Oryzias latipes: one gene and its partners. The protein of the gene in region 2 purifies or fractionates together with the protein of the main gene of each other region. This does not show direct contact. Links are inferred from orthologs where the notes say so. Each region holds a gene or a part of one and is shown on either strand. Other genes may lie near its edges. The genes, in order: faf2, ubac2, amfr and tbc1d15.

Evidence for each region.
Region 1: the proteins of ubac2 (region 2) and faf2 purify together in Homo sapiens (affinity purification with western blotting; 7 studies listed by BioGRID and IntAct, with this or other methods). This does not show direct contact. The link is inferred for Oryzias latipes from reciprocal best matches to the Homo sapiens genes UBAC2 and FAF2.
Region 3: the proteins of ubac2 (region 2) and amfr purify together in Homo sapiens (affinity purification with western blotting; 4 studies listed by BioGRID and IntAct, with this or other methods). This does not show direct contact. The link is inferred for Oryzias latipes from reciprocal best matches to the Homo sapiens genes UBAC2 and AMFR.
Region 4: the proteins of ubac2 (region 2) and tbc1d15 purify together in Homo sapiens (affinity purification with mass spectrometry; 3 studies listed by BioGRID and IntAct, counting the BioPlex papers as one, with this or other methods). This does not show direct contact. The link is inferred for Oryzias latipes from reciprocal best matches to the Homo sapiens genes UBAC2 and TBC1D15.

The regions. Positions count from the first base shown.
Region 1 is NC_019868.2:20,365,813-20,374,440, reverse strand, and holds the start of faf2 (FAS-associated factor 2), read left to right. Parts: upstream 1-4,267; 5' UTR 4,268-4,330; coding exon 4,331-4,393; intron 4,394-5,435; coding exon 5,436-5,504; intron 5,505-5,865; coding exon 5,866-6,000; intron 6,001-6,205; coding exon 6,206-6,282; intron 6,283-6,372; coding exon 6,373-6,511; intron 6,512-6,618; coding exon 6,619-6,704; intron 6,705-8,031; coding exon 8,032-8,123; intron 8,124-8,566; coding exon 8,567-8,628. Other genes in the region: pin4 (peptidyl-prolyl cis-trans isomerase NIMA-interacting 4), read left to right, coding at 2,003-2,122, 3,205-3,363. UniProt on the Homo sapiens protein: Plays an important role in endoplasmic reticulum-associated degradation (ERAD) that mediates ubiquitin-dependent degradation of misfolded endoplasmic reticulum proteins.
Region 2 is NC_019873.2:18,565,632-18,574,314, forward strand, and holds the start of ubac2 (ubiquitin-associated domain-containing protein 2), read right to left. Parts: upstream 4,949-8,683; 5' UTR 4,795-4,948; coding exon 4,764-4,794; intron 4,430-4,763; coding exon 4,305-4,429; intron 2,909-4,304; coding exon 2,789-2,908; intron 2,422-2,788; coding exon 2,315-2,421; intron 2,103-2,314; coding exon 1,979-2,102; intron 1,845-1,978; coding exon 1,797-1,844; intron 882-1,796; coding exon 773-881; intron 1-772. UniProt on the Homo sapiens protein: Restricts trafficking of FAF2 from the endoplasmic reticulum to lipid droplets.
Region 3 is NC_019861.2:26,261,039-26,269,555, forward strand, and holds the start of amfr (E3 ubiquitin-protein ligase AMFR), read right to left. Parts: upstream 5,863-8,517; 5' UTR 5,688-5,862; intron 5,203-5,687; 5' UTR 5,185-5,202; coding exon 4,930-5,184; intron 2,359-4,929; coding exon 2,266-2,358; intron 2,144-2,265; coding exon 1,979-2,143; intron 151-1,978; coding exon 1-150. Other genes in the region: leukotriene B4 receptor 1, read left to right, coding at 8,196-8,517. UniProt on the Homo sapiens protein: E3 ubiquitin-protein ligase that mediates the polyubiquitination of lysine and cysteine residues on target proteins, such as CD3D, CYP3A4, CFTR, INSIG1, SOAT2/ACAT2 and APOB for proteasomal degradation.
Region 4 is NC_019864.2:5,645,121-5,652,175, reverse strand, and holds the end of tbc1d15 (TBC1 domain family member 15), read right to left. Parts: intron 6,999-7,055; coding exon 6,882-6,998; intron 6,473-6,881; coding exon 6,386-6,472; intron 3,923-6,385; coding exon 3,773-3,922; 3' UTR 3,306-3,772; downstream 1-3,305. Other genes in the region: tph2 (tryptophan 5-hydroxylase 2), read right to left, coding at 1,399-1,578. UniProt on the Homo sapiens protein: Acts as a GTPase activating protein for RAB7A. Does not act on RAB4, RAB5 or RAB6.

The DNA of each region.
Region 1 (8,628 bases), on a different chromosome or scaffold from region 2:
CTAATATTTTCATGTGAGCTCTGTTTTTGCAGAAGTCATAGTTTACATAGATGAAATGTTCTTCTTTTAAGTATTTGGTTAACTTTTATGTTGACTTTGGATCCACATTTAAATGTTTTATTGACAAAAAAAAGCCTATAAAATGTTGCATATGTATGTATTCCTGTGCAAAGCGGGACTTCTTAGTTAAAATGCTAAACTATGGAGCCTGGAACATGAAATTCAAAAAACAAAACAAAAAACTCAATTTGTTCCTCAAATTAATAATATTCGTGTGCACAAATTAGTATTTCGTGGACACAAATTGGAATTTTCTGTGCACAAATTGATATTTTGTGGCTACAAATTACCGTATTGTTTTTTTGCACACAAAGTAGTGTTTTGTTACCATAAATTAGTATTAAGAATAAATGTTTTGCCAGTTTTAGCTCGGAGCAATACGTAAGTTCCACCCAACAAAATGACACAGTTGGAAAATCTCACATTAGTAACGATTACATCTCATGTTGCTTTAGTAATGTCAACACCTACAGGTGACTCCTCTTTTCTTATTTTACTGTTAGTCTCAAATTTGTAGGAACATTATGATCAATTTAAAAACAACACATTTCTGCAGTGTTACGGAATGGCTGTAGATTCTATTACAGTTTACTTGCGATTTTGATAAATACACTATGAGTCAAAAATCTATGTGTTTCCAGCTTTTTAGTGAAAAGTATTCAGTGGAATATCTTGTCATATTTTGAAATGAAAGAATAGTACTAATGCATTACCGGATTTACAAAATGAAAACCTGGAGCACTTACTAACGTACAGCTGAACACAAATGCAGCTTTCTATCTACAATAGAAATGAAATATGTTTCAGAAAGTTCTTTCTGCATAAATATTTGCCACCTATTGGTTGCTTTGCTATAACTTTTCTGATTACCGGTGGTTCATCCCAAACCAACTCAATGGCGTTCAGTGCTGGCCCCTCCCTGTCAGTTTCGCAGCGTGTGTTGTTCCATCAGGTGACATGGGGGAATTCATTTGCTAGTTAGTGAAAGTACTAGCATCAAGCTACTTTGTTCGTTTTACAGGACAGATGATTTGATTCATGGGATCTAGTGGCTGTTTAGGTTTCTCAAAAAGAACTTTCAGCAAAAAGTCGTTTTCTGCGAGTTCTGGGCTCAAAGGCATCATTGCCATAAATCTGTTACCTCACCTGAAGTATTATCCTCTGACAACAAGAGAAATCCCTCAAACTCTGCGGCCAAATCTCCACTTAAACACAGAAACGCACAAAAAAACACATTAATCTGTGATGGACCAGGCAATCACGGCTGAGAGGACTGGAACTTAATCCAAAAATAAATCCTTTTTAATGTCGAACAATGTTGTCAAGGTCCAACTGGTTTAAAAGAGGTCAACGTTAACTCCAAATAATTCCTTACTAACGTAAGGAAAGAATCAAATGACTGACCTGTCATTACCACACAGCCGAGGACTTTTAAATGAGTGGGTTAAACCACTACTGATACCATGGGGGGGTTGAAGCAAAAACATCAACAACGGGAGAACAGAGAAACTATTCCCTTCCCCATGGATTACAGATAGTGGCTGTTGGAGAGCTTCTCAGTTCGGCACCATCTTTAGGCCACCTCAGGCAGGTACAGCTCCACATGACAACTCAAAGCAACAAACAATTAGTATACACAAATAACCACACTAAAAGTACACATAAAATCAAGTGGAACTGTACACTACACCTTAATGTTAATCCTGTGTGACCGCAGTCATCTTTTTTTTTCTAAAATGATCCAATTTTGATTTAAAAAATAAAAAAAATTCCTTTCCAGTTTTTGGTTGAAAGGTTCACTAATTACCTTTTTGCACCATTTCAAGCTTTTCATTGGACTTTTATTTCCTGGATAAAAAATAACAGACAGTTGCAGTGTTCTTAATCTGTTGACTGCTAGTGCGTGTCTTGAAACCAAAGTTTCTTTTGGATTGTTCTTTAGGTTCGACATATCCTCTGTGAAAAACATGGAAAATGCATGGAGGCCATGGAGAAACTGAAGGCCGGTGTCCGCTTCAGTGAAGTAGCATCACAGTACAGTGAAGACAAAGCCAGACAAGGAGTAAGTCTGCCTTTTAATGATTCATTGGTCATAAAAAAATGTCCTTTTACTTTGTTTAAACTCTAAGGAGTTCGTTTCTACCATAAAAAGGTAAAAATGTCTGCCGTAATTGTATTTATCTAAAGTAAAAACAAATAATAAATACTTTAGATTTGTAATTAATATGTGGTGTCCGAATTTTTTGAACTCTTGATTAATCCAATTTATGCAGCCTGTCATGAATTTAGTTAATTTTAGTTTCTTTGTATATTTAAACAAATCATAGGTACAACATAAAAGAATGAGTGAGACTCATATAGGTTTATCAGATGTCTAACATATGATGTAAACAATGTAACTAAAATAGGATGAAAAGTTTAAAAGACAAAAAAACTCATCATTCAGAGTAACATACTAAAAAATATCACAAAAAATAAATAAAGAGCAATACATTCTAATGTCTCAACAGCAAAAGTTAATGGGGCTTCTGCTAAAGAAAATGCCAATCCATTCAGAAAAACGTCAAGTCTAAAATGTTGTCTTTTTTATGGATTGAAAACATAATAGATCATTATTATATGGCCTGAAATTTTTACTTAATCCATCTCTGTTTCTTAAAAAAAACACTATGCTTTATACATACTTAGGAAGAAAAATGGTAGAGTTTAGTGGAAATATATATATAAATTGACATAAAAAAATGGGTTAAACATAGCTATGTTGTGGCTAAGCTGTTTTATTTGTTTTCTACTATTAAGAGCGATTCTCTTTTATATTTCAATAGATGACAGTGAATGTTCAAAACATACAACATAACTATACAGTTATGCTAGAATTAAGCTAAAAGGCTAGTTTTCATTTAGACTTCTTGGTCAGTCAAAAAGCCATGAAGAAAATCCACAAACCATATTAAAAAAGAACAATTAGAAGAAAGACACACAGAGTGTAAACTGTGTTACAGTAGATTTTACAAAAGGTCATAGTTAAAAATGAGCATTCTATACCAAGGGAAACAAAGAGTCTATCAAATTAATATAATATTAAGTAAATTAAATTATTATTACAATTTTTTTGTGGTTCCCTCATCATTGTGTTGTCAACAGGGTGACCTGGGCTGGATGACTCGAGGATCAATGGTCGGACCTTTCCAGGAGGCGGCGTTTGCGTTACCCATCAGTTCAATGGACAAACCGGTTTATACAGACCCTCCTGTCAAGACAAAGTTTGGGTATCACATCATTATGGTTGAGGGGAAAAAGTAAAATTAGCCTCTCTCTCTATGAGATTGGACAAAACAGTGATATGTGCAAAAGCCAAAAGGACCAGACAAACATATGATTGAAACTTGCGCAGCAATTTTGTGAACTACTTCAACAAGATTGGCTTTTGGAATTTTCTGGATTTTTCTTTGCAGTTTAAGGTGTTTCGTTGAATTCCAATAATAAAATAAAGACGTTCCAAATAAATGCCTTTTTTAATCATTTGGTGTCAATTGTGTGATACTTTCAGAAAAAAACAAAGATAAAATCATGTTCTGGTATTCTGAAAAGTAAGATTCACTTTTATAAATGTGAACATGACTATATTACATATAAAATGTGCTTTATGGACATTTGTTTTACATTTTAAATACTTTTACTGTATACTTTTACTTTTAACTTACCCCAATCATATTTAATAAAAAAATGATAGGTAAATCTAAGCAATTTTAGAAAGATACTAAATAATTACAATAATTATACTGTAATGACAAAATTAATAATATCTATCTATGTATATCTATCTATCTATCTATCTCTCTCTATATATATGTGTGTGTGTGTGTGTGTGTGTGTATGTATATATATATATATATATATATATATATATATATATATATATATACACACACACACACACATATATATATAGAGAGAGATAGATAGATAGATATATGTGTGTGTGTGTATATATTGATATACAGTATATATTTATATATATAGATATATCTATTTACATAAAGACAAATTAATTTAAATAACGAAGACTGGTGTTATTTTTAGCTTTTAATTAAACACTATATTGTTAGTTTCTTTTTTTCTTTCTTTATATTTTTGTATTTTTATTTGTTGGTCTTCTGGGTGACAGCCAGAACAGTAGGGGGCAGCACGCTGCACACCGCGTGACGGAACCGCACCAGGAAAAGACGGTTGACGTTGTTAAGCCTTGCTAGATGATTGGCGAGGTAAGATGGCGGCGCCAGAGGAGCCAGAATTATCCCAGGCGCAGACCGAAAAACTCCTTCAATTTCAGGTAGACAGACTAAGTTTTTTTCATTTCCACACACATGTGTGATAGCTTGTGTGTCGGTATGTTTTTGCCGATAGTGAGTCACCGTTAACTTGTTAAGATTTGTATGTGGGAACCCTTTTTGCACGGTCAACTTCGATAATTCCCCCCAACGTCAACTTGAGTCAGAGCTGGCGTTAGCGAGGCTAGCTAAAATAGCTAAGCTAGTTAACTAGTTAGCCGACTTTCAGGGACACAGAGTGGCTTTAAAAACGCTACTTTTATTTTGTGTTGTAAAAAAAAACACAACCAGTCCTTATCTTAAATATTCTACCTACCTTCGTACTATTTTCTTTTTTTTTTAATTTAAATACCATTTTAGGTTTTCACTGACGTTCCCTATGAGCATTAGCACATCTGTCATTCTAACCTGATTCTTTCTGGAGTTTTAGGGAGAAAAGAAAAACCGTTCCAGTTGTGTCAATAGATCTTACGTTGCAACACAGAGACTTGTCTGCTCGTGTTTGTCGTTATACCCGAGATCAGAATTCTTCAGACTGTAGGAGGATCGCCTCTCAGTCACATTTAACGTAATTGTTTGTGGATTCATTTTTTTCGCGTAATCTTTCAAATCCCAAGTTTCTGTTACAAACGAGCAGGCCAGAGCTTACATTTGAAAACAAAAGTCAATTTACTGCCACATAAAGGCTACATTAGTGAGATCATTAGTCTGTCAGCTACATCATCATGCTGTTTCTATTTTTTTTTTCAGCCATTTCAGAGCCCTAAATATTTATAAAATCATTGTTTGTTTGTTTTTCCTCATAAAAATCTGTTACTCTTAAGTTCTTCGAGGCTGCCAACCTGTGGTGAACTAATGATCTAATACTGTGAGAGGAATGTTGATAGATCTATTTGTGTCTGTTTAAAAGCTTTTTTATTTTTTTTTATTTTTTTAACATTAAATTTGAGGCTTAAGGAGGGGGACCTTGGCAAAAAAAATCTGACTAGTTTTACATTCTTTCCGCTGTCATCATCAGCTTGACTTTCACTTCACGTTTAACAGGATTTAACAGGTTTGGAATCAATGGACCAATGTCGCCGAACATTAGAGCAACATAATTGGAACATAGAGGTATGTTTTCTTTTTTCTCCAAATATATGCTCACATTGTGGACCCTATGAGGGTCTCTTTGAAAAATCAGTGAACAGTTTTTAATGTCGAATCAGCAGTTATTGATTAACTGCTACTGTGAATAGGAGACATTGGAGAAGCAATTGTTTTGACTTTTAACCACTGAAAGAAACTGTATCATTACAATTAAATTACATTAAAACAAAAATAATGATTCAAACGGGTATTTTAATTTGTCATTGGATTTTCATTTTGCTTGCTTGAATGTACAAACTGAAAATTCTCTGATCACTGTCCAAACAATTGGAGCTTCAGCTATTGTAAAGTGTGACTGTCTAGAAATGCTGTGTTTGGTTTTCAGGCTGCAGTGCAAGACAGACTCAATGAGCAGGAAGGAGTTCCTAGTGTGTTCAATCCTCCTCCATCCAGACCGCTTCAGGTTAACACAGCAGACCATAGAGTTTATAGTTACATCGTTTCACGGCCTCAACCCCGGGTATGTCTTTATTCGTATTATCTCAACCCCAGATAAGATTAGTAGAAAAAAATTGTTTATTCTAGCTTGATATGTATGGTCTTTGAAACTATGGCACTGTTGTTTTTCTAGAAGTCGTCTCTGTTTTTCTTTTGATTTGTCATTGTGTGTTGCTGTTCAGTTTTTATTTATTTATTATTAATTGCTATTAAATGCTATTTTGCAGGGATTACTAGGATGGAGTTACTACTTGATAATGCTCCCCTTCAGATTTACATATTACACACTCCTGGACATATTCAGGTAATTGAATCACATCTGCTTAAGGTACTTTTGCTCATTTATGCATTAAAGCAATAGAGTTTCACATGTGTCCTCCCCTTTATTTTCAAGGTTTGCCCTACGGTTCATTAGGCCAGATCCTCGCGGTCGCGTGACAGACCCTGTTGGAGATGTGGTGTCTTTTATTCAAAGTTTTGAAGAGAAGTATGGCCGGTCACATCCTGTGTTTTACCAGGGGACCTACAGCCAGGTGAAAAGATAGTTGGAGAGAATAGAAACACATTTAACAGAAGCGGATAGATGGAATGGCATAGAAACTGAGCACGTTTGTGTTGTCTGTTTGTGTTTGCTTTGCAGGCACTGAATGATGCCAAACGGGAACTCCGCTACCTGTTAGTGTATCTTCATGGAGACGACCATCAAGACACAGACGAGTTTTGCCGGTATAGTAATCATCTTTGTGTTGTGGCCATCTGGACTCCTGAATATGTAGCACTCATTCAAAGACTGTTGATATATTAGCCCAATAGAGCTGTTACGAGTATCTGAATACTCGAATATTTACAATCTGTTCCCGAAAATGCAACTACAATGTGATGTCAGAGATTTCCGAATTATGATCTTCCAAATACCAAAAATCTAATTATGTTGTCTGAAGTGTATTTTTACTATGAAATGTAGTGAAAATACACTTCAGACCATGTAATTACTGCTCAAAGATGCTATTAAATTACAAATTTTCAGTTTATATACTAAACAAACTGAATGTGCAACTGTTAGGGAAGTAAATGAAATTTCAGAGTAAAGTGTCGGTGAAGGTTCTTATTTTCTAATGACTTAGATAAAAAAAAAAGACTGAAGTTCAGTTTACTAATATGTGTTCTGAAAAAAATAAATTTGTTTGAAATATATTAATAAAAATAAAGATGAATAGGAATTTTAGAATATTATGAAAATTGTATCAATTTCCTTTTAAGTTTTTTTTTGTTTTCTCGATTGAACATTACAGAACAAGGCTTAACACAGCGAACCAGCAAAAGAATCCAGTAATTACAGCCGGAAACCCAAATGCAGAACAACAGACAATGGCGAGACAGAGTAAACGCAGTTTTGTTATGCGGGGCTTGTGTTCTTCTGTCTGGAGACACTTTGTCAGTTTAGATCAAAGGACTGTTTTCTTGTTGCTACAGAGTTGCTTTTATTTAGGTATTGCTGTGTCTTTTCGTAATTTATTTACTGTAATTATAGTCAGCTAAAATTTGAGGTTTGAAAATCTGTGGAGGACATTTTCAGTAGTTTGTTGTAAAATGGCACAAACAGCTGTGACATTTGTTTTGTTTACTGCAGAAGTCAACCAGGAAGTTCACCGAAGAACTTTTGAGGGTGACACTGTTTAAAGTGATCATTTCTTTCTTAGTGTTTTTATATTTTATTTTTCATTTAGCCTGGTCTCCTCTTTAAGATAAAGGTATAGATGATGATGATTAAATACATACTATTTCACTTCTAATTCATCCATTGCAAAGATATTCAGTGGTGGGCAAAATTGTTGGTAGCCTTCAGTTAAAGAAAGTCCACAATACTCACTGAATGTTTATGGAAAATAGTGAGAATTTGGGTTTGATTTCAGATGGCTTAAGTAACAATCTACAGCTCTATCCATTTATTGAATTTAACATCTGTATAAAAAAATGTATAGCTAGCTGCTTTGGGATAATATATCCAGACTAAAGAAGTATTTGTTTTGTTATCTACTGTTTCCCTTTTTAGTTCGACGTTATGTACAGAAGAAGTCATAACCTTCCTCAACACACAAATGCTGTTTTGGGCATGTTCAACCAGCAAGCCTGAAGGCTACAGAGGTTTGTCCTTTTTATGCCGTCAGTCAAATACTTTTGTAAAATGTCACTCGTTGTTCTGAACATCAAGTTCATGTTTGATAAAATAAGGTTCTTTCTAATGCAATTTATCCATATTTAATTACCAAGACAGGGTTATTTTTAATAAGGAAATCTGCATCATTGACATTCATATTTTAGTACAAAGTAATTTTTACTCTGGTGTTGTAAAATAATGTTTCTAAAGGTACTGTTTTATATAATAATTTCAAAGATGCTGCTTTTTATCTTAAATATTTTTAATTTATAAAAAAATATAGCTTATTAAATCTGCATAGCCATTTAACTCAGACCTTGGAGTGGCACAAATATATCCAAAAGGAAAATGTTTTATTATGAATTAGTAGCATCCCGCTTCTGCTCCAACAAAAGTACTTGAGTGTCTGGTTTGAATGTTGTGGTTGAAGTGTCCCAAGCTTTGCGGGAGAACACCTATCCATTCCTGGCCATGATCATGCTCAAGGACCGC
Region 2 (8,683 bases):
CTTGCTAATAATACCAATATTTTATGTTTACAACTTCATCTCCAGGAGTTGGAGGAGATGGGTATCACTTCTACAAATCAACCTACATCATTTTTTGAACACATGCCTTCAAACTTGATGGCTTCAAATCCAGGTTGCTGGAACGTTTTCTTTTTATTATTAGGAAAAAAGTTGTAAACTTTGACATGGTCATTTTTATAATAAAGAAAAAGCATGCAATGGTAAAACTATGATAACAAAGTTGCTGTACTGCATTTCTTTACATTACTTTCTTTAAGTTAGTTATATTAATATCAGAAAAACAATGAAAATGATAATTATTGTTCATGATAAAGAGAAAGTTTACTTTGACAGATGAAATTACCTACTTATTCATTATGGTAAGAATTTTGTCCTCATTTTGAAAGTATTTCATAACAAAGCTGAATACATGTCTTGACTGCAAAAATATTTCTTTATTTTTTGTTTTGTTAATATTTTTTGATTGAGTTTGAGTATTTTCATACATATGTAAATTTTAGCCTCCACTCTAATCTAATTTTTAACTCCATCAATTGCTTATTACCTTTAATGTTTTAAGTCTTTCGCACCATGTCTGCTGTACTAATACTGCTGGTACATGTTGAGTTTTAAAAACTTATCCTTTGTTGTATTTTGGTATTTTTATTTAAAAAAATAAATCTTACTCTGTACCAGTCTATGTCATTTTCTTTCAGTAGTATTCAAGACATCTCATTTTGAATTTCTGTTTGCACTCAACAACTGTCCTCACTTGAGACGATGGGCTCCAGAATATACCGGGCGATACGAGACACCCATGCAGGAACAAAGAGAATCTTCTGGACCCACAAAATATTGGAGAGGTACAGCCCGCCCGAGACCTGAAAAGCACATTCAAGAAAATGCAATCTCAATAAAACGAAAAAGAAAAAAAACATCAGTCAGAAGTGATTTTAGCAACAGAGGAGCAAGAAAAATAAAATAAAAAATAAAAAAGAGTCATAGCCAGGCCATAATCTAAACAGAGAAGTATGTTAAAACACATTTCTTTTAAGGATCAAAACCTTTCATGAGAACATGCACTTAATGTGCAATAAATGGTTATTTATTGCTAGCTAGTAAATTGTACGTGAATTGAAGCATCTCTACAAGTATGTTTACGTTAAAAGTCTCAAACAACTGCTGTGCTGAATTTAAGAAGGATTTATTTATTGTTTTATTACATTAGACTACTGGTAAGCTTAGCTTAAGCCCTTACTTGCTTATTAGCAAATAAAAAAAAAATAAAATAAAATCAAGATGTCACGTTTTTTGTTTGTGTTTTGTAATACACAAATCACATATCGAATCAAAATCATGACCCAAAAATTGAGGTTTTAACCGAATCCTGGGGAAAATGAATTGTTGGATCCCTGCAGCACATACATGTAAGAAAGACAAAAATGCTGTTGATTCAGTAAAATTAATAAACAAGAATTGTAAATTCTCCCTAATATTTTTGTATTGTCAAAGTAGCAGCAAAAAAAAAAAAAAAAAGCTTAAAAAAAAACTAGTATGGCAGACCACAAACGAATGACACTTAGGTTAAGCTAACAGGAGCAACTGCTGAGAGTGATGCTCATGACATCCGTTTATGTGGCTGAACTAGCAAACTGTCAACTATTTACGCCGATTTGCCATCAATGTGAAATCTGTGATATTATCGGTGATAATAGTTGAATAACTCGAAGCACATTCCATCATGAGTCATCAAAACTAGTACTTTACAGTAACATTCAGGATTGATGGTAACTCACCAGTCCACTAAGAGCAAGGAGCCACATGAAGGGGCTGGAAGTCAGTAGCTGCATCACAGAAGGATTCAGGGAAGAAGACAGAGAAAGCATGTAACAACTCCAAAAAAAACAAAAAAGAAAAACCAGCAGGAGATAAACTACGATAAACATGCTTAGTCACAATAGCAGAATACTGGTTTTACCTGCAAGCCAACTATGTACACCAGAGATTTGTTGGTGATGTGGATGTGACCAAGTATTTGGGTGACTGGCATCCTGGGGATTGACAGGTAGAAAGGCACGAACAAAGAAAAAACTGGTGCAAGCCTGTCAGGAAAATAAAGAAGGAAAAGAAAAGAAAAGTTCTAAGACGAAGGAAAAGATTATTTGAAACAGCAGTCTTTTTTTAACTGACGCACAATTTGATCGTGCCTTTAAACTCTGCAATGCTCAAAACTTATTAGCAAAAGTGTGATTGTCAATAAAAACCTCTGCTTTTCAGAGATGTGACACATGGATTAGAATTGTAATGAACTCACAGTCCAGCAGGAAGTTCTTCCACTTCATAGTCAAACAGATGCTGAAAAGCCTGAACCAACACAAAGTCTGTGAGGGCAGAGAAACACCAAGTGCCCAATAGAAAGGACTGAAAACAAAAACAGCAAAGAGTCAGATGACAGGAGTAGTGAACAGCATCAAATACAATCATCTTCTTTTTTTTAAGGCAGGTTTGGAGATTTAACCGCAAATAAAGCTCAGACTCATCCTGCAAAACAGTTCTCAATAATAATTTCTCCGCACACTGACTGAATCTGTCATTTCTTTCCAGTTTTGTGCTCATCTTTAGGTGGTTTTTCGAAAGACTAAATCTGCAATGCTACCCAGAACCAAGAACTTGTATCTTTGTCCAGCACTAGAGTTCAAGACAAGGTTTCATCTCTGCCCCAAAAAAGAGAAACTATCCAAAGAGAGAAACTTTAGTGAGGAAGAGCATCCTCCACTTAAACACTCACGGCAAACTTCCTGGTGCCGAACCTCCTCTCAAAGATCCTAAAGTTGTAAATCAGCAGGCTACAGCAAAAGCAGTCCTTAACATCTAGACAGACAAGTCTTCCACACAACAACCTCCACACCTAGAAAACATGGAAAAAAATAAAATGTAAAAAAAAAAAACATTATGGAAAACATAAAGCATATACAGTTCAATTTTCAAAGCATTTGGATGTTTGTGTTCTTTATCATAGTGAACAGAACAAAAAGGTTGAACTAAATAAAGTTAGAAAATTGAAGTACAGATATATAAAAAAAACACCTGTTAAGTAACCAGAATTATCTCTAAAAATGTGGAATAAACCACAAACTAATTGGACCACAGAACACATTTCTCATATTTTTTCTATTACGCTGAGGTCAACATGGTTAACATGGGTTGTTGTGAAAACAAAAAAAATAAAAATAAAAAATACTAAATGAATAAAACTAAACTGTCAGAATCATTTATTGTCTTCACAATTGTTAAATGCAATGAGATTGGAGCAGCTGAAGACAAACAGAAGAGATCAATGTGCAAAAAGTGGTCATGGTGTAAATGAGGGCTGCACGATATGAGGAAAACTCGCGATACGCGATATTAATGATCAATTTTGCAAAGACAATATAACGTGCGATATATGACCATCCGATTGGTCAAATGCATAAAGGGATTTATTTGATTGGCAAAACACTTTGAGCTGGTATAAGATTCTTAAAGCACATTTAAAGTAACCGTTTATTGCTAATTTTTGCCGTCTTTTGTGATAACAATAAATTTGTTATTTATTGTGCAGGCCTAGTTTAAATCATTTGAAGAGGAAGAGGTACATTTTAATAAATAAAAAGAGTAAAGAGCAGTAACAAGTAGAAAGTCCAATTTCCAACAAGGGTATATGTACCTACGTCATAGAAAGTACATAGCTAACCACTTTAATTGTACACAAAACAAACTCATTTAAAAAAAGAAGGGATGCAACCATTGATATATGTATATACACAATATAATAATATATATCAATGGATCCAACTATTTTTTAATGAAACAAATCTCATTGCCGTGTTTGCAGTGTACAGAAATAAACATTTATATTTCTGTTTAGAGGAATATTTTGAAAAAAAAAAAAAACAATTTTTTTGGGTTCTTGTTTGTGCTGCACTATACTTCCAGTTATTCTGCAGTTTCTCAAAAACCAGCTTCTGAAAATGGCAAGTGGAGACATATGAGCTGTTAGCAGGCCATGGATTACCTAGAGTTCAGATGTTGCTGCACGAGTTTTGTTCAGCAAAAGTTGAGGGAAATAGATGCAACGACATCAAAACAATCCTTAAACCTTTTCAGGAGATTCTCACAAATAAGGTGTTTACCTCCCTTTCTTATATTTATTTCTGTTCTTTCTTATCTTTTTAGCTATTTTAACTTATGATTCCATGTTTTTATTTGTTTTTAGATGTTGTGTAAACAGTGCATTTGACAGTGTAGCTCCCAAACAAACATACCTGCTGCTGTTGTGTGAGAGCCTGCAGGTTGTAGATGAAGAGTTCTTGGTATTGAGGCAGAAGGATCAGCATCAGAGTCAGTCCATTGAGGACTAACAGAAGGCTTTTGGACAGAGGAGCCTTGTCTGCAAAAACACAATCGCTTTCGATTAAACCGTGATAAATGGGCTTGCCTAATGTTTGAGTTCATTCCGTTTCCTACAACTGTAGGTAGCACAGTTCACATTAGTGGAACTAATAATAGCCAAAATTCACATTATTGAAATAAAGAATTGAATTAAGAGGCAAATCATCATATATCAGATATTTTCTTTGTTTCGACTAAACACGACGGTTCTAGCTCGGGATATCACATTAAGTAAATTAACGACAACGCAATACTAAAGTAGGCTAGCTTAGCTTAGGTGCTGGAGGAACTGAAGGAAGCGTTCGAGTTAACTTGTCACCCGGTAAACTTACAGAGGCCCCGGGACCCGGTGGTGGTAAACATGGGGTCTATGTGGGCAAAGGAATCCAGAAAATAGCCGATAATCCAGTACCAAAACAAACTAATAATAAAACATTGACATAAAGTTTGTGAAAGAACCCATGCTGTCACTATGACGGGAAGGTGGCAGGGGAAGGAGGTAGCTACGGAAGCCTGACGTGAACAAAAAGTACCTTGTCAAAAAGCAGAAATACGTTTGCAAGGGAAATACCTGTAGATGGCGCCGTTGCTCCGTTCACCAAAGCACCTGTGTTAAATTAAATCTAAAAAATTACTTAAATTAAAATACATGTTTTTTAAACGTACAGAAGTATTTAAAGTTTAAATAAACTGACGAAAGACTCATCAAAAAAAGTTTTTCTTTTGTTTTCATGTTTGATCATAAAACCAATCAATCAAAATGTAACTTATAAACACAAAAAATAGATTTTTTTGTTTGAAAGAAAACAGTGTTAATAATAATAATAATAATAATAATAATAATAATAATAATAATAATAATAATAATAATAATAATAATAATAGGTGGAAGTTCTGGCTTGTTACTGAAGTGAGGGAACAATATTTTATAATGGGAAACTGTCCATAGGAGGGGCCATCCCACTCATGCTCTCAGAGGCTATCATCACAAGACCACCCAGATTACAAGGAGTTGGGGCCCACATGAGGCTGCAGTGCAGGATACCTTACCATACAGATTAGGGTGATCCCACAGCCCCGATCAAATGATCAACTCACATTCTAGCAACAAGTAATCAACAAATCAGAAATGAACCAGAAAGAAAACAAGTATGTATTAGCAAGTATTCTAATTTATGTAACATGGCCTTATTAGATTAATTAAAATATACATCACTATTATAGTCATGATCAATAGAAAAATTGTTGGTTTTGATCTGATTTGAAAGCCCAGAAATGTAAATAGAAAAAACATGTAAAAAAATGTTACATGAGATATCTTTAGATGGAGACACATCAAATGTATTACTCAACAATGTAAAAAAAAAGTTCTAAAATCAAGAACCAAGTCTTTAAATAAAAATATGTAGGAAGTTAGTTTTTACTTCTGTTTTCTTTTTCCTAAACTGCATTTCTGCTGCAATGGAAGCCGAACATTTCAATTTGTAATTTAACTAGTTATTCACCAACATGAGGTATGTATTCATTGGTTGCAATCCACTGATCTGACATCTACAACTTCCCTACAGCTAGGGATTTGTATCTTATTCAGCATTTTATGAAGGCAGATAAGGTACCCAGATTTCTCACTGAATGAAAGGTCATTTTACTAAATATCCAAATCGGTGTCTTTTATTAACCTAAGACAGAATTCCATGACCCTTAAAGTTAAGTCCTAATCATGTTCTATCTTGAGGCATATCATCAACAAGTATTTGCTCTGTGTGTAAAATTAATTTCATGTCAGCTATGCATCCAAGCAGCATGAGGAATGTTGCACGTCTCCAAGTTGTGTGAGTTGGTTTCTGACAAAGTGGTAACAGCATTTTAGTCTGTGAGCAGGATGTGGCTACACAAAGTCCAGATTAATTACTTTTTCTTATGGTCTTCTGGCTTTCTGCACACAGTGTCATATCTTGTCAAGGTCCAGACTTCCTTTGCAGATATCCTGCTCTGTCTTATTTTCAATTGGCTGCCGGTTTTATTCACATCAAAATGTGAGTAACACTTCCTGCCTGGCCATGCTTGCGCCTGAGCCATTTGATCCACGGCTCGTGTTTTGTCCAAGTACATACGAAAATGTTTGGTGAACAGCTGTCTAATAGAGTTGAATTTCCTCATCGGCCACAGATGCAGTTGTGTTATTTTCCATTGGTTAGTTCCCACACATTTGGTTCATTTGGCTGCCTTTGGTCAGATGTGACTGCAAAGCAGAGCTCAGTAACAGCTTGCTAATTGTGTTTCAGACCTTCTCTGTCACTGATGTGGGACTGAGGTCTAAAAAGGTTGCTTTGCCCCTGTTCTCAATCAAAGATAATCAGATTAAACAGTGCAGAATTGTGTGTGTGTGCGAGTTTGTGTGCGCTCACCAATAAAGGGACCCCAGATTTGGAGACAGCCTTGACTCCTGCTGTTTGCTTTGTTCATTAAGAGGAGATGAGCAGATGGTTTGCTGGTCTGTTGTGCAGTGCACACACGCAGACACACGCACACACACATGCAAATACAGGAAGACACATGCATGCTCAGTCCTGTCACCTTAGCTTTATCCTCCATTTATCTTTTCCATTACACATCTCTCAGCAGGACAATGCTACTCATTGAATTGTGAGGAATGTGTGTGTGTATGTGTGTGTTTATGTGACACAGTGACTGTTACAAGGGAGCATGACAGAGGAGAAGTAGCACCGGATGAAGTCACCAACGCTTTCAGTAAGCCAGCCTCTGAGGTGATTTTAGCAAAACCCGGTGACTCATTCTCACACATTTCTGTAAATTCTTACAATTCACTGGAAATATTTTCAGGAAGCACTTGTCCGTGTCAGAGGCTTTTTTAAGTCCCGCTCCACAGTTTGTCTGATTTTGCTAAGGAAACTGAGACATTTTTGACAAAGTTAAATGAGTAGAAACCTGAAGATTAATACGTAAAAAACTTTAAGATAACATTTTGCTGACTCCAGAACAAACTCTAATGCATTCAATTGGACTGTTTTTCAAACGCATTCACACTTTTTGTTTCTCTTTCAATCCTTTAAACTTACACATACTCAGATATTCATTTTAAGATTGTGTAATAACCATCATTTGCTAGACTGTAGTTTGAAAGCACTAAAAATAAAGACTCAGCTTATTATTGGTGCTACAAAAGCCAATGTTTTGAAACACACATATACAACATTTTAAATGACAGCTTGAATCGGGCTGCAGAAATATTCAATTCGATGAACGGCATTCTCAAAATCAAAACAAATTTATATAGAAATCTTGATGCAAGTTGGAAGAAAAATGTGATTGTTATCTGTAATTAAACAGGAGTAAGCTCAGTATCAAGTTTAGGTCTCTTACATCAGCAGGGCACTGTTCTGGTCCAGTTAAGTTTGGGTTTTTGGAGGGTGTCTAAGGTCATTGTGTCCCAGAATTATACCAACTCCTGCTGCTGAAAAGGATCCCACAAAAAGAGCAACTCTTAATGTAGTGTTATTGTTTTATTTTACAGATAGCCTATTTAATTTAATATTTGTATTAAAAAAAGCGCTCTACGAATCCTGAATAAAACCATCATGTTGTCCCATTTACAAAACAAATTAGTTTTGTCACTAGTAAAAAAAAAATCTTCTGAGATCCTTATGGCCTAAAACAGGGGGTCTTCAACCTTTTAACACAGAAAGAGCCATGTGGAGCAGTTTCTTTCTGACCAAAACCCAGCGAGAGACACAACGCCCCACTTAACAGTTAGAAAAATACAAAGTTTTTGTGGCCATTAAGCCATTCATTTGTATCATATACAATATTGAATTATAACAGGATTAAATTTGTCAACAAATGAGAACTTTAAAGTCTTTTAGTTTTCCCAGTACTGCATCCTTTTAATATTCAACCCCCCCGTGTCAAATAAGATCCTCCTTTTGCAATAGATTTACTTGAATAAAAAATTAAAAAAGCCAAATCAAACATGGTCAGACAGTAGATTAAACCTTTTTCTCAGTTATTTAACATGTTAAAAATCTAAATATAAAAGGCAAAATTTAATTAATTAGCATAAAACTACAAACCCATTATTTATTCAAATCATTTGCATGTTTTTTTCAAAGGCAAAGAGTCATAACAGAGGGCTAAAAGAGCCTCAGGTTGCAGACCCCTAGCCTAAAGGAATTACAGAAAAATATTTCCACATTTATAAAAACATAGTGTTTGCTTTGCTAAAGGAGACTCA
Region 3 (8,517 bases), on a different chromosome or scaffold from region 2:
TGCTGCCATAAAGGAGAGGGTGTGCATGCCATGTGAAGCCCCTAAGAAGCCACAGACCACAGCCAGGCCACAGCAGTCCAAGAGCAGGGAGACCAGCAGACAAAGCACTCTCACGTGGCTGCTCATAGGAGTGGAGGGGGAGAAAGACAGCTGCAGGGCAAAAACACAAAAACAGACTTTTTTATTTAAGTTCTCTTTCTAAGGTCTTCAGGTTCAGAACCTGCTTTCCTGGAATTGAGGCTCTTTCTTCCTACGTTTAAAAAAGTATTAAATAAATATGACAGAGTTCACTTGGTGCTTCTCTTGCAAATGTCATAGGGTGAGAAAGTAGAGAAAAAGCAAACAAAACAGACCACGGACTCCACGGTTGCTCTTGGAAACCAGTTCTGTTCCCTTCTGATCAAATTATTCCGTCCGAAAAACGTCAACAGCTGCAAGCGCAGACACCAACTATTCAGTTCTGTTATCTACATGCAGTTGTTTTGGTTTTTTTTAAACAGTTTCACACAAATGTTTTATCTTGACCCGAATGTGGGAACCTAAAGCTTTGAGGAGTCAGGAAGGAAAACAGCTGGGGAAACACAAAAGACTTCAACCTGAGAGGGAACATGAAACAGAGCCAAAGGACTAGCACACAGTCGAGCATACAAAGTGAGGCAAGTGTACCAAAAGAGATTCACAAAAAACAGAACTAGCAGCAACTCCAGGTAGAAACTACAGTCATTTATACCAACTCAGACTGCATCACATGAGAGCTACAACATTTATTTCATCGTGTTTTAAATGGGAAGGCTTGTAGAAGAAGATTAAATTTGATACTTTGTTTTGCCCAACATGCAGAACACTATTTGATCCAGGGGGAAGCCAATATAGCAAGTGAAACTGTACCACCAACATGCTGTCACAAGAGGCTAATAATAGATCTAAGGCTAAGACTTTATGATACAAGACACTTGAAACAATCTTCTGAAGAAAATATACAGTCTTGCTATAACATTCACAAAGCAGTTTTTGAATAGTTTATGTAAACCAAAGCTAAAGTATAAGTTTTAAACAAGTGCTGTCATGTATCCAGTATAGGAGAGAACCAAAACCTGTAAAGCCTGACTAAACATCGTAGATTAGATATCCAGCATTAGTATCCTAATTTACAAATTGTTAACAATATCAGAACTGCCAAAACAAGATTAGACATGTTTAAATTAGGCCTGCACAATAATTTGCAAATTTATCGTTATCCCGATATCAAGCTGTGCAATATGCAGATCGCAAAAGACGGCAAAAAATTGCTATAAATGGTTACCTTAAATGTGCTAAAACAATCTTATGGCAGCTTGGAGTGTTTAACGAATCAAATAAATCCATTTATGCATTCGACCAATCCGATGGAAGCCTTTTATGTCAGATGTTCATCTCCTGTGTCAATAAGGGTCATTTGGTGTATAATTTTCAAACTGTTTCAATTAAATGAGAAAGATGTTTGGTTGATGGTTGTTTTGCTATTTGTTCCTTTACCACAAGTTATATCGTTATTGCAATATTATTAACTAATATTGCAAATCGCGGGTTTTCCTCATATCGTGCAGCCCTAATGTTTATTCTAAATACAAATTCTAGCTCCTAAGATAAAATAACTTAAGTTTCAGAAAATACATTTTTCTAACACTTTGTTCTTTCTTGGTAAACATCTGCCAATCAAAAACATGCAGTCTTTTGACCACTCTTAATTCAGAAGTTGATGAACTCCATATATCTAAAACTAAATAAAAAAATGAAACAAAAGTTTCCATAAAAATCTCTTGCAGTTCAAATTCTGCTTTTTTGTTAAATAATTGTCAAGCTAACATCTTGAGTTTAATTGCATGGCAGCAATTAGATAAATATATAAAAAATATTTAGAACAAATTATTAAATGCCTCCACAAAAACAACAACAGCCAGGAAGAGTTGAAATTAAAATGTTCGCTCCCCATACTTACATATTCAAAGCGGTCTTTGCAAAGCTGCACCATGAGATGGAGAAAAACCAGAGCTGAGAACCACAAGCACCACATGACCACCTCCTCAACGGTTTGCACATTCAAGACTCCAAAGATGAAAATGAATTTGTAGAAGATAAAGTTCCAAAATTTGTCTTTGAGATGCTGCAGGGGATGAGAAAAGAAGGACAATATAATTATTTGTATTAGTGTCTGTTGAATGTCAGCTAAAACACTTTTAAAGAAACTAAACCCATTAGTTGAATTTAAGACAATTAAAAACTCACCTGCTTCTCACTGACTCGTAGAGGTCCAAAGACCACATACTGAATCATTTTTGCAATTAGCATCAAGGAGCAGCAGAATGTATTCACCAACACCTAGGAAATGGTATAAAGTAACAGTGAGTTTTGGTAGATGCACTCGTTATATTAGTAGGAGTGTAACCATTAATCAATTCATTGATGAATATTCCTATGATTCAACCAGATCCTTCTGTCAGAGGGAAGTTATGAATCATATCAACTTATAGTTTTTTAAAATCATTTCAGAATGAAATTAATTGATTACAATCGGTATTGGAAAATACCATTTGGATTAAGACACGGTAGGTTTATTTTACTAAAACGTAAAACCGATAAAGTGCATCACAGCGGACAACACACACAATGACAGCAAAAAATGATCAAGTCATCATTACAGTCCAATGTGTGGAAAAACTTGGAATTTTGCAAAGATATGTGACCATAGAGTGTGCTAGACTGTTTTAATAATGTTCAGTTTGGATTATTTTCATGTGGGAAAACAACAGTGGGCTGAACTTCATGAAACTAAAATTGCCATTGGATCTTGTTTTCTTGTATGTTTGTACACATATTTAATGTACAATTTCTGGTGTAACTTCCCCTGTACCATTCAGTACCCAGGTATTCATCTCTGAGTCACACTGGTTGAATTTTTGCCTAAAGATGTCCTAGCAGGTACTGCAAAGGGTGTCACTGTGCATGACGTTTGTACTGTGGCCGAGAGGTGTAAGACACATTTACATTTAAGATACAACAACAACAAATCCCGGTACAAACAAAGAAATACTGAAACACAACATCAAATCACGAAATACAACACCAAATCATGGAACAAATTACTGAGTCCTGAAACACAACAGCTGATCCGGGGGGAAATGACCAAATACAGAATTACAAAAAACAACCCTGTTACAATTGACCAAATCCAGAAACACAACAACAAAAGCAGGTCACGGCTTCTAACAGAAAAGACATAATATAAAACCAATTGACTATGATTTTTTTAAAGTTATTTATTACTGTTTTCTTTATGTGGACATTTTAATTACACGAAACATTCCAAAAGCATTTTTTAAATTGTGTTACTACAATACAAAATAAAAAAATGTTTAGTAAGGTAAAGTTTTTGCGTCACATCTGGTAGTAATGGTATTCCCTTTCCGTTGGCAGCTGCTCGCTTTCGTTCATTTTTTTCTCCTTCTTCTGAAGTCGTGTTTTGCACTAGTGCAAGCTTAATGGAAAGGGAATACCATTATTACCGGAAGTGCAGCAAAAACTTTACCTTGCTAACACATTGTTGTAATTTGTATTGTAGTAATAAAATTTAAAAAAATGCTTTTGGATTGTTTCATGTATTGAAAATGTCCACTTTAAAAAAAACAGTGATAAAGAAATGTAAAAAATCATACATAATTAGTTATGTATTACGTCACTTCCGGGATTCAGGATGTTAGAAGCCGTTTCTCCACTTTCCTTGTTGTGTTTCTGCATTTGTTCGTTTGTACCGAGATTGTTTTTTTGATTTGGTATTTGGTAATTTATACCCGGATTTGCTTTTGGGTTTCAGGACTCTGTAATTTCTTCAGTGATTTGCTTTTGTGTTTCAGTATTTGTTCATTTGTTCCAAAATTGTTTTTAGTGCTTCATGATTTGTTTGTTTGTTCCAGGATTTGTTAATGGTTGTATCTCAAATGTAAATGTGTCTTGCAGCTCTCGGCCATCATATGTTTGCGCATGTTTGCTTCACCGTTGAAGAACTTTGTTTCCGCGTTGGAAAATGTACAGCGATGAAATACCCTTCACTGTGTGTACTGGGATAGCTTATACTTTGATTTTGATTTGAAACAAGGTAGAGTGGACTTAGCGGACATTTGTGAGAAAATGGCAGCTTTCTCATGGCTTTGGATCATGAGTCATGGATAGTGAAAAGGCACAAGATAAATTAGGTCCCAAAAACCACCCGCCAACACATCATCAAGGAACCTTGATGAACCGCGCGAGGTTCGTCGTTGCGGACCCAAGTCTCACAAGTCGCATCGTGACAAACAATGTTAAAGAGCGCGGTAACAAACGGTCACAGGTTCAAGTCCCTAATACAGAATAATAAACCGCACTCAGCAGAGGTAAAGTATGCAATAGTATACATTGAATGATCTTCTGAAAAATATTCAACATTGCTGAATCCCTTGAATAATGTCCTGTGACAGATTGATGGTGTTTAGAGCACAGATAGAGAAGCTGTGGCATCGAAAGAGACATTAAAAAAAAAAAAAAACTTGATATATCTATACATGATTACCGGGTTTTCCCATTGTTTTCCGCAAAACAAAGGTGATCAGCAAGACGTAATATAATAATAACTTAATTTGAGGTCTATTGGGCCATTTCATTTATTTCTGTGTTCAGAATTGGAAGCTCTACCATTTGTGGTCACCAACTTTCGTCACTGGACCTTAGAAAATTGTGGCTTGTGTTCCCTAGTCCTCGACTCATTTTAGGTCAGTGAATCGAATCATATCAGACCATTAAAAATGAATCAATATTGAGTATTAAGAAACCACAAATTAGGATATGAATCAGACCATTGTTAAAATGAATTGTCACACCCCTACATTAGTCTAACGTTTTAAAGTGAGTGAAACTTACCCACACAAACAGACTGTCGGTCACAAGATACCACAGGATCGTTGTTGCCAGTTCTGAGTTACTGACAGCATTGCTTAGGTGTTCAAGATCGACGTGGGAGGGAGCAGGTGTATCGTCCGGTTCCAAGGCCCCAAAGCCGGGGTCTGTCACCGTAGGGTAGGCACTGAAGATGCTCCCAGCGAGTAAAGCCACACTCAATACTGTGTAAGTCTGCAAACTGGGCCACGGAAACCTCTCCAGAAACATTAGAGGCATTGCAGTGGGTGCAGTAGTCTTCAACGAAAAAAGGAAGAAAAAAAAGTCTGTTAACAAACAACACACATCTGGATTAGCCAATGTTGGCCTGACTTTAAACAGCTAAACAGATTATGTAATCAATGGGGTTTGCAATTTGAGGGCGATACCAATTCACCAATACTGGCAAGTTTAAAATAATAATCATTAGTAAAATTATATGAATATAAAATCTAAAGCAATAAAATGCTAATACAGACTAACGCAGGAAGTGGCTAACCCCCATAAGCTTCTTTAATTAAAAAAAATATATCAAGTTCGTTCGGTTTTTTGTCTTTGGGTGTATTTTAATAAATAATCAAACCAAAAATATTCAAATAGAATAATTAAAGTGAGTTAACATGTCCAGTGTTAGTAATTCACCTAGCTAACGTTACCTAATACTAGCTAGTTTGTTAGCCAATCTTTGCTGCGAAGCTAAAACCAATCGCCGAACTGCGGCTTTGTGTCTAGACTCCACTTACAGTTCCTTACAGACAACGTTTGACCCAATATCCCGGGTAATGTCCTAATCACTGGACCGAGTTTTAGTGCAGCTGCACGAAGAAGATCATAGAGGACGACAACATCGTCATGTTTACGCCACCGAGCAGAGCGACAGGCTGAACGGCTGACTCGCGAGCTGCTTCTTCTTGGTTGCGCAGGGAAACTACGTCATCGTGGCTGTTTAAAGGCATCGCCATTCAAATCATATTTCACACGATTTCACACGATTTCGCTGCTACCTACTCACTTCACACACTTAAAATATCATTTACCTTTGCTGCTATCAGCTGCACGAATCCACTTGTAATGTGTTATTTAAAATGTGCTATAAACCACGAAGACAGGAACGGGTAGTTTCTAGAACAAAGAAGAAAAGTCGCGACTCATTCGGGAGAGCAGGAGACGTCGTTTCTTTGGAAATTCACCCCTAATGACAGCAGGGTAGACGTTTATGCATGTAATGATGAGACCAATCAGATTAGATAGATTTTTTTCAAAGTAATAAATATGTATTTATACATAAAAACTCACTTCACAATGTTAGGAAATTAGTGTTTGGTAGATAATTCGATATAACACCAGCCCTTTAAAAAATGATCATATATTAGAACCATACATTTGTATTTTTAAAAAGTTTTTTTTTTTTTATGGGCAGCAGAGCAGATTGAGTTGCATCAATAAAGAATTTGCCCAATTTTTTAAACCAATGACACACGTCTTAAATGTATGACGTCATTGCCTCAGTTTTACATTTGTGAAACCTTCAGGTGGCCTTTACTGTAATTGAATACGTTTGGAATGCTAGCTTTGGTTATTGCAGCTGATGTCCTTTTTGATTCCTTGATGTTTTGTTTTGACAATTTGAAGGATCAGCTTGGGGCTGTTGTAGTACCAGCACAACCAGGCTGCCAGCCCATGGTAGACTAATGTGATGGCATCCCAAAGCAGTGTGTGACCAGAAGAGGTCCAAGGCTATTGTGGATGTGTTTAGCTCTTCCACATATTATAAACCCAATAACCCACAGACAGCGTAATCACTATTTCCAGCTAAAAAAAAAGTACGTTTAGAGTCAAAGTAGTTTAATTCATGGCGTCAATGGGGTTTGTCAATATAAAAATAAATTGCCAAATTGCTCATATTTTTTGTTTATTCAAACTTCAAACACTCAAAGATTTAATTTTAGAATAATGTTTTTGGTGCTGGGAGAGAAGATTTTGCACATTTATCACAAGTTTATTATAAAGTAACTCAATTTAAAAGGATAGTAAATAAAATTTAACACAGTAAGTTTTTTTTTTTAAGATGCATTATAACAATACATCCTGTAACAAACACATTTCCTTTTTTTCCTTTTACAATAAAAATAAATAAAACTATCTACCTAAACAGAAATTCGTGCATACGAATACAAACTTCAGAGTCAGGTAATATCTATTAATATTGAACAAACTGTGTAATAAAACAAACGTACCAATTGTTGAGTGAAGAAGAAGAAAAAAAGCTGTTTTATAATAAAGTCATGACAGAATTCCAGGTACCGATTGCTTTCATGTTCCAGCTTTCACTCTTCATTAACATATATTTTATATTAATATTTATTTATATATTTTGTAAAATCAAAAATTAGGAACTAGATCATGATGAAGGGTAACGACAGATAAGATAGAATAAACTTGAAACTTCATAGCCAGATGTTAATTATTAGCTACTCTAAAAGAGGACAGAAATGAAGTTGCAGTCCAAAGTTAACATTTATGGGAGTGTTGTAACAGATTCAAATTCAGAAAAAAAAAAGAAGTTACTTTGCTTTGGATTTTCTTTCATCCCTGAGCTGGACTTTTGGTGAAGTGTAACTTCAGGTAATCTGTTTTCTTCTACTTGAGTGTTTCTAGATCTGTCAGTGCCATGGGAGATTGCACTTTCACTCACATTTCAGCTTTTTTGCTATTGATCGGCACATCTCACGGGACACGGTGATCAAAGAAAAAGCACTGTATGTTCTCGTTGCCTTGAAAAATCAACGATTTTATACATTCTAAGTTATGATTATGAAACAAGTTAGTGAGATATAAGCATAGACAAAGTCATAATATGGATGTCTTTTCCTCCTTTTCTTTTTCAGCTTTTGCCTGGAATCCTGAATCAGTGGCCAAAACCAGCAGTCTCCTTCTCAAGATCTGGATCTTCATTTAACAGCAATCATTTCTGTTAGATAAGAGACATTTTTTCCCCACAGGATGTGGTTGGTACAACAACAAAAAAACAGGAGAAAAAAAACAAGAAAAAATATGTCTAAGCAATTTTACTAAAACACACAACATTGCAAATGCAACAACAGTAGCCATGTGATAATTGGGTCCTTGAAAATACATGGTTTCTGTTCAGTTTTCACAAAAAGGGAAGTGGAGTATTGTTTTTGGAGACGTTTAAATCATTTCTTAGTCAGACAGAAGAGAACGTTAGAAGTAGAATTCATTTTTGGAGGATGAATCCCTTCACTGTGGAATCCCCCACAGAGGCTCCTGAGGAGTATGGCACCGGGACTGCACTGGCATGCGTCATTCTGGGCCTGTCTTTTTTGATCGGAGTTCCAGGAAACCTGTTTGTGATTTGGACCATCCTGAGATCCATGAAGAAGCGTTCACACACGGTGATGCTCATCTTGCATCTTGCTGTTGCAGACACCGTGGTCCTCATCACCCTGCCTCTGTGGATTTACTCCATGGCGCACACCTGGGAGTTTGGAGAAGGAACCTGCAAAGCTTTGGTGTACTTCATCAGTACCTGCATGTACAGCAGCATCTTCT
Region 4 (7,055 bases), on a different chromosome or scaffold from region 2:
GGAATAATTCTATAATTTTAGCTCACTACATCCTCTCTTTTTACTTAAAAAACAAGCCATCAGAATTTTACATAAAGTCGGATATCTTGATCATACAAGCAATTTATTTTATCAATCCAGACTTTTTGATTTTTACACCAACAACTTCTATACAGAGCCAGTGAGAAATCGTTACCATTCAACATCCAAAAACAGTTTTCAGAAAATGAAGGAGGTCACAGACTGAGGGGATGTAGGAACTTCAAGATCAAACTGATAAGAACCACAAAGAAAAGATTCTGTGTGTCGGTGTGTGGCACTAAACTTTGGAACGGGTTCAGTAATGAGCTCAGACAATGTTCAGATATCCAAATATTCAAGAAAATGTAGAAATAAACTCTGATTTCAGGATATGACGATAAGAGGAGTTAAGGATCAACAGGTGTTTGAATAATTCCAAATACATGAACAAATACAATCATAAATTACAATCAATAAGCTATCGATTTTCTTTACTTGATCTGCAATGTGTAGCAATAATTACTGGTTTATTGTGATCATGTGTTCTAATGATAATTGATGATCATTACATAAAGGTTACCGTTACTGTTTACTGAAATCATGAGTTAATGTTTTCTGAAGATGATCAATCATTACTAAGAACTGGATTTAGTAACTTGAAAACAATTTTTCTGATCAGAACCGGATTACAAAAACTATGTAAAACTTTCAAATGAATTAACTCAGTAGGGGTGGAATTCTATAAACTCGCTTCTTCCCAAGCAATAAATCAAGCTCTACCTGACTTTAGTTAATGATCAGTATATTTAATTAAGCAAATGTGATTTAAGTGTCTTTGTTTTGTTTTAGTTTCTGTTTTTTTATCTATGCATTTCATCATTTCTGTGATTAGTTTGATCAATCTGTGTACTTTCATTATTGCTTTGACTACAGTGCTCAAAAATCAATCAATCAATCAATCAATCAATCAATCAATCAATCAATCAATCAAGTTGTATGTTCAAATCTTTAAATAGACTTCAGTGGATCACTCAGCTCAAAAAAATTGAACTAGTTTTTTCTCTCCCCCTCCCTTTTATTTATTATAATTATTTGTTTTTCTCTAATGTCACTGATGTGGGACTGTATCACATTTCATTGTACTCTGGACAAAGTAACACTGTGCAATGACAATAGAGATTTATCTTATCTTAAAAACACAGGAGACACAGATGGAAAGGAAGCTGAGCAACCTGAAGCTTCGTTTTCATCTGCCCCCATCCTCAACACGTAGCTGCAGGTTCTACCACATCTTTACAGAACCGCATCATGAAAGGATGACAGGCAGCAGCACACCCCGTGAGGAGGTGTGGGATCAGGACAGAACCAGAGGAGGAGGATGGAGCGACCTTCTCTTACCATCTGCCCGCCAGTGTGCTTCTGTTGCGGCAGGTTCTGGTTCCGGTGATCAAACATGGCTGAGTCCAGTGAAAGTCCCCTCCTGGACCAGTACCTGCTAGAGAACATCATCATGGCCGGCTGCATTCGGGGGGGCGGTGGTTCTGGCCCGCCATCCTTCATCACATGGCCTGAAGCCATGGGGAACCAGTGGGTGTAGGAGTACCAGGGCTCCAGTGTGCCGTTCTGCTGCTGCTTCTGCGATGCGGGTGAGCGCCGACCCGCCTCCACATAAATACCTGAGGGAGGGGGATGCTCCTCCCATTTGTTCCTCTCTATGAGTTGTGGTGCTCATTTTGCCAGCTAGGGAGGGTGGGGCCCACTCTGTAGAGAGTCGGATGTGGCAGACAGGATACAGACTCAGCTTGGAACCAGAATCTGGAGTCCATGTGGGTTGAGTCCGGGTTGAAGAGCTGAAGGGACAGGACAGACAGACTTGTCTGTGGTCTCAGTCTATAAACCAACCGAGTTCTGGTTCTTCTGGACCTTGAGCGGTGGTACAGTAAAGTTCAAGTTCACTGTAATCCTCAGGTCCAAACATCAGTAGGATCTTCTGGTGCCTAAGATGACCATTCAACAACCAGAACCCCAAGTTCAGGTACGGTCTTAAACCAGGACAGAAGAGGTCCAAATATCTGTCCAAGCACAGAACCATCTGGACTGGTCCCGAGTCGTCTGAGTGATCCAAAGCTGCCGAAGACCTTCCTGGAGATTGGAGAGAAGCAGATCCTGAAGATCCATTCATGACTGAAGCGTCTCAGCAGGTCCACTCTACATCAGTTCTGCACGTTTGTGCAGTTTTACGTACTTAGACCTAAACCGGGTCAGTGCTGACCCGACTGAGTTTCATAGAAATAGATGGGACCATCTTCCACCTCCTTTCTGCCTCTGGTCCCGTCCAGACTCCAGTTCTGACAGTTTGGGTCAGAACCTAAGTACTGCGAGCTGGACTGCTTGAGCATGTAGCAGTTCTGTTCTGATCTCTCGTGTCCAAAAAGGACCTTTCAGCAGATGTTTGGAGCTCCAGTTTTGTCCTTGTCTGAGCCTCTTCCTCCTCAGCGAGGATGAGGAGCGCAGCTCGCCTGCTCTGAAGGTGAGGAGCTGATAAGAAGCAGCAGCCAATTTCCTGCCAGACAGGAAATGAAAGCAAGAGCTTTGTTGTGGATGTGATGCAGCTTTATGAGCAGATGGCAGAAGATACCCTCCTCTTCCTCTGTCTTCAGCTTAACGCCTGTGAGGAGGAAGAGGGGACGTCCATCACTCACATGAAAGCAGCTGACATTTGCAGCAGCCGGCACATTTCAAAAATGAAAGAGGGTGCTCCTTCCTGGAGTCAGAACCATTGCCGTACCTCAGCATCTTCATCACCGGGTCGAATGGGGCCGGCTTATTTCTCTGCATAAAGAAGAACAAACTGATCTGGACCGTCCTGCAGGCAGAGCGGACAAACAACTCACTGTTCTGTTCTGGTGCTTTATTATCTGATGTCCCACGAAGGAGATCATTCTGGTCATATATCTCATACAGAGCTGCATGAACTGGTTCTGCAGCACCAGACTCCAAGGCCATTCCTCGTCCTCCAAATCAACCCTGAAGGTCTGTGAGCACCACTACAACCAGGATCCCTCAGAACCAGAGGAAGATTCTGGTTTAGTGTTTCCCAAGGAGGAGATCAGTCAAGCTGATTTGATGATGTCATCAGAGGGCAGACAGCAGCAGCCAATCACTGAGTCTAGGTCAGGTTCTGATCACAACCTCCTGCCATCTGATGACAACACACAGCCATAAACCCGTGCATCCTGCCCTGTTCCCACTCAGGCTCCGCCCCCACGACAGGTGAGAAACGTCTGAAATGAGTGAACTCGAGCTGAAGAAAACATTGGTCTTTTATTACATAGTTACATTTGACAGATCTGTTCTGACCCACTGGATCAGTTTAGAACCAGAACTCTGTTCCAATCAGAACTCCGAGGGTGGAGACTGCCGGGCTCCTTCTGGTGTTTAACTCATCTGCCAATCAGGCAGCACATGTTGACCCGATCCAGCAGGAGGTCTGATCCAGAACCAGCTGACTGCACACGGTGCCGGCTTTCTTCAGGGTAGCCTGCCAGCCTGTGAGTCGGGCAGCTCCTGAACTGGGCCCTCTGGCTCTGACTGGCTGCAGAGGTACGTCGTGTCAGAAAGCACTTCCTGTTCCTGTCCAACTTGTAGAGTTTTTATAAAATATGGCCAAAAAAATCCAGCAGCTGGACAGATGTGCAGCAATTTACAAAAATAGGATTTTCATTCAGCTCCCCTCCTCCTCCCCCCAAGGACGACGCCAGCTCGTGGGACGTCACTGTGACGAGTGTCCTGTGTGTCCATTGGAACAGGCTTCCCGCCGGTCAGCCGGCCGATGGGCCACGGCGGAGCCAGAATCTGAGCTGTCGGACTCTCTGCACTGCTCCTGAAGACCAAGGATGGTGTTGACAGAACGAGGTAGGTCCTGAGGAGAAGAACCAGGTCAGACTCGCACACACATGCACGCATAGGTACACAAAGACACGCGCATGCACGCACAGACACGCGCATGCACGCACAGACACACGCATGTAAGCACAGACACAAGCATGTACACACAGACACACGCATGCACGCACAGACACATGCATGCACGCACAGACACACGCATGCACGCACAGACACACGCATGCACGCACAGACACACGCATGCACGCACAGACACACGCATGCACGCACAGACACACGCATGTAAGCACAGACACATGCATGCACGCACAGACACACACAGGCACGCACAGACAGACGCATGTAAGCACAGACACAAGCATGTACACACAGACACATGCATGCACGCACAGACACACGCATGCACGCACAGACACACGCATGTAAGCACAGACACATGCATGCACGCACAGACACACACAGGCACGCACAGACACACGCATGTAAGCACAGACACAAGCATGTACACACAGACACACGCATGCACGCACAGACACATGCATGCACGCACAGACACACGCATGCACGCGCAGACACACGCATGTAAGCACAGACACACGCATGCACGCACAGACACACACAGGCACGCACAGACACACGCATGTAAGCACAGACACAAGCATGTACACACAGACACATGCATGCACGCACAGACACACACAGGCACGCACAGACACATGCATGCACGCACAGACACACACAGGCACGCACAGACACACGCATGTAAGCACAGACGCATGCATGCACGCACAGACACACACAGGCACGCACAGACACATGCATGCACGCACAGACACACACAGGCACGCACAGACACACGCATGCACGCACAGACACACGCATGTAAGCACAGACACAAGCATGTACACACAGACACACGCATGCACGCACAGACACATGCATGCACGCACAGACACACGCATGTAAGCACAGACACACGCATGCACGCACAGACACACACAGGCACGCACAGACACACGCATGTAAGCACAGACACAAGCATGTACACACAGACACATGCATGCACGCACAGACACACGCATGCACGCACAGACACACGCATGCACGCACAGACACACGCATGTAAGCACAGACACAAGCATGTACACACAGACACACGCATGCACGCACAGACACATGCATGCACGCACAGACACACGCATGCACGCACAGACACACGCATGTAAGCACAGACACACGCATGCACGCACAGACACACACAGGCACGCACAGACACACGCATGCACGCACAGACACACGCATGCACGCACAGACACACGCATGCACGCACAGACACACGCATGTAAGCACAGACACAAGCATGTACACACAGACACATGCATGCACGCACAGACACATGCATGCACGCACAGACACACGCATGTAAGCACAGACACAAGCATGTACACACAGACACATGCATGCACGCACAGACACTTGCATGCACGCACAGACACATGCATGCACGCACAGACACATGCATGCACGCACAGACACACGCATGCACGCACAGACACACGCATGCACGCACAGACACACGCATGCACGCACAGACACACGCATGTAAGCACAGACACAAGCATGTACACACAGACACACGCATGCACGCACAGACACATGCATGCACGCACAGACACACGCATGCACGCACAGACACACGCATGTAAGCACAGACGCAAGCATGTACACACAGACACACGCATGCACGCACAGACACATGCATGCACGCACAGACACACGCATGCACGCACAGACACACGCATGTAAGCACAGACACAAGCATGTACACACAGACACATGCATGCACGCACAGACACATGCATGCACGCACAGACACACGCATGTAAGCACAGACACACGCATGTAAGCACAGACACAAGCATGTACACACAGACACATGCATGCACGCACAGACACACGCATGCACGCACAGACACACGCATGTAAGCACAGACACAAGCATGTACACACAGACACATGCATGCACGCACAGACACACGCATGTAAGCACAGACACACGCATGCACGCACAGACACACACAGGCACGCATACACACACACAGGCCCGCACAGACACAAGCATGTACACACAGACACATGCATGCACGCACAGACACAAGCATGTACACACAGACACATGCATGCACGCACAGACACACGCATGCACGCACAGACACAAGCATGTACACACAGACACATGCATGCACGCACAGACACACGCATGCACGCACAGACACACGCATGTAAGCACAGACACATGCATGCACGCACAGTTACACACAGGCACGCACAGACACACGCATGTAAGCACAGACACAAGCATGTACACACAGACACACGCATGCACGCACAGACACACGCATGCACGCACAGACACACGCATGCACGCACAGGCACACGTATGCATGCACAGACACAGGCATGCAGGTGCCAGGCTCACCTTGCAGCTCTTCATCTGCAGGAAGAGTCCTTCCGCCTTCTGCAGAATCTCCTCAATGTCCAGCTTCATGGAGAGCTCATTGATGTGCTGAAACAAACACGTGCACACATTAATGACTCGTGCATGGATGTCACAGGTGGTCCGGATGTGACCAATAGATTTTTCAGCTCAGACGTTCATGGATCTTTTGGTCTGCAGGTGGATGCATCAGAAATGAGTGGAGCAGGGAGACTTGGGCCTGCCGGTTGTAGTTTGTGCATAACAGCAAGAAGCTTTTTCTAACTGCTTTTTTTGTCTGCTTCTGATTCACTATGATTTAAAAGAAATACTCAGAAGTGCACTTTTAAGCGTAGCTTTCTTTATACGTGTCCACCATCATGAGAAAAATGCCACAAAAACATCATTTTCATGGGAGTGTGTCTTTCACTCCTTGCTTGCTTCTTAATCCTGACTCCTAACCTTCTGACCTACTTGGAGGCCTTCAGGCTGGACTCACCTTCAGAATCTCGTTGAAGCCAAAGTTCTCCTCCATGATCTTCTGTTTTTCTGAATCCAGGATGGCACAGCACACCAGCAGGTGAAAGTTCTGGCAGGGAAGCCCGGTCCACAACACCTGAGTGAGAGCAGAGAGCAGACGGCATGTCAGACCTCAGGAGGATCCGAGCCCTGA